Sus scrofa: one gene and its partner. The protein of the gene in region 2 interacts with the protein of the main gene of each other region in a biochemical or structural test. Links are inferred from orthologs where the notes say so. Each region holds a gene or a part of one and is shown on either strand. Other genes may lie near its edges. The genes, in order: NR2C1 and HDAC3.

What was found.
Region 1: the proteins of HDAC3 (region 2) and NR2C1 form a complex in vitro, tested with the Homo sapiens proteins (4 studies listed by BioGRID). The link is inferred for Sus scrofa from reciprocal best matches to the Homo sapiens genes HDAC3 and NR2C1.

The regions. Positions count from the first base shown.
Region 1 is NC_010447.5:88,229,662-88,234,102, forward strand, and holds the start of NR2C1 (nuclear receptor subfamily 2 group C member 1), read left to right. Parts: upstream 1-1,527; 5' UTR 1,528-1,850; intron 1,851-2,153; exon of another isoform or gene 2,154-2,596; intron 2,597-4,441. UniProt on the Homo sapiens protein: Orphan nuclear receptor. Binds the IR7 element in the promoter of its own gene in an autoregulatory negative feedback mechanism. Primarily repressor of a broad range of genes.
Region 2 is NC_010444.4:143,272,461-143,275,143, forward strand, and holds the end of HDAC3 (histone deacetylase 3), read right to left. Parts: intron 1,375-2,683; coding exon 1,155-1,374; 3' UTR 728-1,154; downstream 1-727. UniProt on the Homo sapiens protein: Histone deacetylase that catalyzes the deacetylation of lysine residues on the N-terminal part of the core histones (H2A, H2B, H3 and H4), and some other non-histone substrates.

The DNA of each region.
Region 1 (4,441 bases), on a different chromosome or scaffold from region 2:
TAGATTTATAGAAACTCTTTTTACTTAAAGTGATAATAGTTTGTATCTTATTGTTCATATAGAGATATATAGATCCTTTATAAATAAAATATTAGCACTGTAAAAAATGTTCATTGTATTTATACAAAATAAATTTACTAAATCGACGTTTGGTGTGATGATGTCTCTTAAACCATAATTTTTTGTAGTCACTCATTTTAAAGATGAACCACACAGACCTGTTTTCCTGAATCATAATTAGGGGTAGCTCTCTTTCACTCATACAATATATTCCCAAGCTGGCTTCTACTTTCAAACTTTATTAAGTCAGTTTACCATGACTTAGGTGAATTAATTGGATGATAAGGGGGTAACCCCATATTAGGCACTGAGAATAGAGGAAAGGTCTCAGATTGCCTTTTTCCATTGGACCTACAGTATCCTTTCTTAGTTGTCACCTTTGAGACTTAACTATCTGATTCCAAATTTGACTGCCTGCAGGAAGGGCTGCCTTAAAACCACCAAACACAACAAATGATACTAATAGGAAAAGGAGACTTTGGAGAATGAGACGAAAAACATATTTCCACGTGTTAAGGGTTGGTGCATGCCCCTTTTGTGTCCAGCTGCCTGGGTCCAGAGGAAAATGACAAAAGTGATGTTCTCCTTCTCAGCTCACTTTTGTTTTTCCAGACTTGGGCTTCCTGAATCCCTGACTGCTTTTCTAGTGCCTATCAATACTAAAAGAAAGCTCTTAATGTGAAAACCACACAGGGCAGCTCTTCCTGCTACACCGCCATGCTTCTGGTAGTATCAGAATGTGTTCCCTTGTGGCTAGAGTTCCCACCCTGGCTCAGCGGTAACAAGTCCGACTAGTATCCATGGAGATATGAGTCCAATTCCTGGCCTTGCTCATAGCCTTGAGCTGTGGTGTAGGTGACTCAGGTCTGGGATTGCTATGGCGAAGGCCAGCAGCTACAGCTGCAATTCCTAGCCTGGAAACTGCCATATGCCAGGGGTGTGGCCATTAAAAAAAAAAAAAAAAAAAAAGAATGTGATGCTCCGTCAATGCCTCTTCTTTTCGCAAATGTTTATTGCCCTTTAAGCACTGTCCTATAAGCTTGGAAACAAACCGCTGAGGAAAACAGACTAAAGCCAGTCTTAGGAAGATTACATTCTAAATGATTTAGAATATAATCACTAGCTCCGTTTGGCCATTAAACCTATTTATTCACAAGAGTTGACTAAGTAAAACTTCGCCACATACAGGATTATACCCCAGCTTGTTTTATTTAAGGTAATTTAAAATATTTTATTGGGATGTACCCTATTTTGTTACTCTTCTAATAAACCTTTTAGTCTAAGGTAAGAGAAAGTCTGTTAACAGAGCCAGATTCCCACAAGTTAGAAACCGAACTGTCATAAAACTGATTCGGTCATTTATTTTTGCCAAAATCGGATCTTCCTTTACCACCTTTTGCAAACGACGCTAAACAAGCGGCTTCTAAAAGTGCCCATAGGGCTCTGGCAGTGCAGTCTCCCTCCTACCCGATAGGGGGCAGCCAATTATTCAGAGGCTGGGTTCTCTCATCCACCCAGGGAACGTCACGACCTCCTCTCGCCACTAATGCGCAGGCGCGGGCGGGAGCGCGCAACGAGGAGCCGAGGGAGGGGTCACGAACTCTGACCCCCCCACAAATACACAAACCCCGAAAGCTCCCTGCCCCCACTTTTTAAAACCCTTCCCCCTTAGTTTTCTCCAACCTGCCTCTTCCCGGAGGCCCCCCCCCCCCCGCAGCAGCCGCCGCAGTGGGACTGTCCGGTCTACGCCCGGGGAACGTAGCTCGGCAGAGAAGCGCCAGTAAGAGCCGGTGAGGAAAAAAGCGGCCGTAGCCGCGCCCGGGACGGGGGGCGTAGGGCACGGGGAGGTCCTTTCCTCCCAACTGCCAACGGCTGCGTCCCCAGTTCCCGCAACAGCCTGCGGCTGCAGCCGGTAGAGCCCGCCCTCTGGCAGCGCCGCGCTGCTCGGGGCGGGCTGGGAGCGCGGACAGCGGCCGGAGCGGCGAGGCCGACTGTGCGGGGCTCCGAGAGAGGCCGAGGCCGTAGCCAGGGCCGGGCACGGGGCCCGGAGCCCAAAGAGGGGCCGGAGTGGCGGGCGCGAGAGGGAGTCCGCGAGCGGCTGGGCGCGCACGGCAGCCTCTCCCGCGGCGCCTCTGACCTTTCACCTACAGGAAAAGCTTCCGTCTCGGCGCCGCCGCCGCTTCCCCCGCCTTGGGGAGTCGAGCGCCACCGCCGCCGGGCCCGGGATGCAGCGTGGGCTCGAGCGCCGGCGGGACGCTGCGGGGTCCACCTGGCCACTCGTGGGCGCGAGCCGAGGCCCGGATCCCTTTCCCCGCGCGGGCCTCTTACCTAATTCTCGTGCTCACCCAGGGCAGACGGAATAACGCTTTCAACTTAAGAACGGATGGGGCGGGAGTGGCCGCTGCCTTTGGATCTGTATCTTTTGCGAAAGAATGGATCGGCCGAGGGTCCTCCCTGAAATGGGCATGTCCAAGCTTCCTGGAGCTCTTTTGTTAAGAAACTACCTCCAACTCCTGCAGATAGCGTTTGTTGAATGGTAAATGTTGCCAGGTTGTCTCGTAACCTTCACCAAATAGGTCACCTGTTTAAAAAATAATGCGAACTGGAAAGGAGAAGCAAAAGGGGTTGAAATTAAGGCCTTTGGGGTTTTGTGCCTCCTGAACTTGTAAATAGACCTTCGACTTTGAGGTTTTTGAACAATGCCTGCTGCGCGGTTGGTTGGTACACAGTGATTGTTTTTAGCTTTTGCTTGTGTGTCACTTTGGTAGATCTAAAAGAAATATTCCTGTTAATTATTTTTAAAAAGTGGATCACATGAGATACATTTTCATCATTCTTTGTAGGGGCATTTCCGTCTTTTTAGGGCGGGTTTTGAGGGAGGCACAAATCAAAGGCGGCAAACATTTCCAGAGTAGCTACTATCTGTGGGTCTTGTACACAAGGAATATACTTCCTACCCGTGGAGAATAGAAAAAAGAAACTGCATGTAATAAAGGATGAATAGTGTATATAATTATACCTTTTTTGAGCCATAAAGGACCCTCTCCAGCCTCTTAAGATCTTTTATGAAAGCCATGGACTGTCTCTAAAAAATGTACTTTTACATAAAATTTTGCATGCTATATGAGAAGTAAAAGAGAAGTCTCTTCTTGAATCCTAGTTAACCTTAGTATGCACAATAAATGCTGTATCCATCTAGAAAGATTGAGTTAAAAACAAACAAAAACATTAGAACTGAGTTTTAAAGGTCGAGGTAATTTAAATGCAGGAGGAGGAGCTTGGAATTGTGTATTTGGGAATAAGAACATTCCACTTTGTCCTGAACAGAGGCCCCTTGGGACTGGTAGGAGTTAAAAATGAGAAGATGAGGAAGACAGGCTTTAAAGGATGCTCCTTTGTGTCTGCAATGGCAGGCATGTTATAGGAACTTAGGAAATATTGAAAAAAATCCAGAAGGGCTGAAACTTTATTCTTTGACCATTAAAGAGGCACTCACAGTTCTGAAGCGGGAGCATAGGATGTATTTCAGTTTTTTAAGCATCTCAAGACCTTGCTCTTGGTCACATATGCTGACACAAAGGTGATTCTCGCCTTGTAGGGTATTTTCGTACACAGAGTTGTGTAAAGTAAATATTCATCCAGTAAACTCAATTCTGGCAGCAGCTGAAATTATACTCAAAGGATTCTTAACTTGAAAAATCCTTGGACTGACCACAGGAGGTTTTATGAGCCCTTTGAAATTCGGCATGTACCATCATTTGTAGTGTGAATGAACATAAACTTGTTTTCTGGTGAGGGAGACCTTAACTTCCGTCAGATTTTCAAAGGGATGTGTGACCCATCCCACCAGAAAAAAAAGAATCCTTGTCTTAAAACCTATTTTCAAGCTTTTTTTGACTGCCCCACAGAAAAATAAATTTTGCATCATAGCTCGACCTCAACACATACACACAGATTAAATTGAAACGTCTTCACGAAACTGTTCTTAACCCTCACTGTACCTGATGCAGTGTTTTCTATTTTAATTTCCTCCTCCCACTGGCTGCACCTGCTCTATGGAAGTTCCCTGGCCAGGAGTTGAATCAGAGCTGTAGCTGCACGCCTACACCACAGCCACAGACATAGCAGATCCGAGCAGCATCTGCAGCCCAGCCTCAGCCTGCAGCAATGCCTGATCCTTAACCCAGTGAGCGAGGCCAGGGATCCTCACGAACACTATGGCATGTTCTTAACCTGCTGAGCCACAGTAGCAACTCCAAGAGAACTCCTTAATTTACTTTTTTTTAAGAAAATTTGTATTTTCCCATCCATAAGTGACTCACAACAGGAAGTTTGCAAAATCCTGCTTTGGGTGGCAGCATTCTGCAGTTGGTGGATGGAA
Region 2 (2,683 bases):
ACCACAGCATTTATCTCACTCCCTGCTGGACTGGAAACGCCTCCAGGGAAGAGTCCGTGTTTGTGGCTACCACAGTATTTGGCATCATTTTTCACAAAGACAATGAAGATAATGAGCAACTGCTTACAGCAGGCTCAGGACCTGGCATGTTTCCTCTCAGTGCTCGTTCAGCAATCAGCATCACCATTCCCAACACCTAGCGTCCAACACCTGAATCGACTCCTCCTCAAGTAACTGCTCTGCCCAGGTTTGTCTAACTCTTGACTAGAATGCTCTGTTAACCCTCCACATACAAGGAAGATCATCCACATGGAATAATATACACATGTCCTAAGGTAACGTACGTGCAGAATGAATGTTTACCATGATTTTTATTATATACATATTAACCCATCTCCTCGCTCTTCGTGCACAGACAGCTAGCAAGAATTAAGAACATTCCCACGGAGTTCCCGTCGTGGTGCAGTGGTTTACGAATCCGACTAGGAACCATGAGGTTGCAGGTTCGATCCCTGGCCTTGCTCATTGGGTTAAGGATCTGGCGCTGCCGTGAGCTGTGGTGTAGTTGCAGACGCGGCTCAGATCCCGCACTGCTGTGGCTCTGGCGTAGGCCGGTGGCTACAGCTCCGATTAGACCCCTAGCCTGGGAACCTCCCTATGCCTCAGGAGCGGCTCTAGAAAATGCAAAAAAGCCAAAAAATAAAAAAACATTCCCAGAAGGCAAAAGGTACAAAAAATACCAACTCGGTTTATTGGATAAAAACAGTGGTAAAATGGACATAAAGCCAAAAGTTAGAGCAGGACATTTTCATATCCTCCCCCCTTTCCAAGTCACACTTCCCATTATCTGGGTTAAAGTATTAGGGGGCCAGGGCTCCCTAAAATCCCTTACTCTTCACCTGGAAGCAAGGCTTGCAGTAGGAGAAGCCTGGGGAGGTGGACGTCAGAAGCAACCGTACTGCTGCCTATTCCTTCATCCCCAAAGTCTCTGGGTTGGAGGGAAGCAGAGAAGGAATGAGGAAGCCAGAAGGGCTGGGACTGGCCTCTAGGGCCCACGGCCCGAGAGGTCCTAGAGACGTCTATCCTTATCCCCATCCGATCCCTAACAGGTACCGTGGTCTAGCCTTGGAGGGAGAAGAAAGGGAACAGCTGGTTCAAGAACCAGAGGTGGTCTCCAAAGCCTCCCCCGGTGTTGGTAACTGCCCTGAAAGTAACCAGACCAGGGGTAGGGGAGTCACACCTTTCCCTCCCACCCAACTAAGAGGAAAAAAGAAATTCCTGGGGACACGGCAAGCCCAGTCAGTCTTAAATTCCACATCGCTTTCCTTGTCATTGTCATGGTCTCCGTCATAGAACTCATTGGGCGCCTCCGGCCTACAAAGCAAGGAAAGACAGGAAGAGAGGTCAGGCTCCCACTCTCCAATTCCCATCTTCTCCCCCACAGGCACCCTCTCTGGAGCCACTTCCCAGGCCCCCGCTGTCGGGGAACCGCGCCTCTCCTCCTGCTCGTAGCGACCAGTCAGGATTCACACGCCCATTCATGCATCCATAAACACCTGCTGAGAGAGCACTCTGTGCCAGGCACTGCCATAGCCAGAGAGCAGAGAGCAAGCCAGACAGAATGGCTGCCTAGCCTCAAAAACCCCTCCAATAAACGAGGCTGACGATAAGTAACAAAGTAAAAACATAACCACGGTCATTTCAGGGGGGAAAGCACGTGGCTGGGAGTGTGGGAGGACGAGGGGAAAACCTCAGGCAGGATTGTCAGGAAAGGCTGGAGGAAGAAGGGAGGACCTTCCCCTGCGAAGGAGCCGCCCAGGAAGGGCGGTCCAACCCGTGAGGACACCAGTACAGAGGTTCGAAGGCCGACGGAGCGGACGGGTTCCAGCAAGAGAAGGGGGTCAGGACGGTCAGACGTGTGGAGGGCGGAGGGGCCTCAGAGAGGAGCCCGCACGTGGGAAGGGCCAGCACGCAAGTCCTTAGAAAGCCACCATCAGAAACGTGGCTTTAGGAGTTCCCGTCGTGGCTCAGCGGTTCATGAATCCGACTAGGAACCATGAGGCTGTGGGTTCGATCCCGGCGTTGCTGTGAGCTGTGGTGTAGGTTGCAGACGCGGCTCGGATTCTGCATTGCTGTGGCTGTGGTGTGTAGCCTGATGGCTACAGCTCCGATTCCACCCCTTAGCCTGGGAACCTCCATATGCCATGGGTGTGGCCCTAGAAAATGGCAAAAAGACCAAAAAAAAAAACAAAGGAAACTTGGCTTTTCTTCTAGTGCAATGGAAAGAAGCGCTTTAAACAGAGGCATGGCATCCAATAAACCTCTAGAGAGCAAAGGAGCGTGAAAGCAATGCAAGGCCCAATGAGTATTCAACGCCGTTCTCGTGCGTGTGGAAAACTGCCCTCTGGGAGAACGGGAATGACTAATAATGGAATTATCTTGCCCACAGCTGGTAAGCGAGAAAGAAGGGAGAAAGGCATCAAAGAGAAGCTGGGGACCCAAGCAGGAAAGGCCCCCTCTGCCTGGAAAGCAAAGTCTGAGGGACCTCTAAGGGCACCAGGGTTATAAGGTGAGGCTCAGAGACTCAGCTTTGCATCTCAGCCCTGATATTTACCTGACTAGCTGTGGGACCTCTGTTAAGTCAGTTATGTAACCTCCTCTTCTGGTAATTTAAGGAGGATAC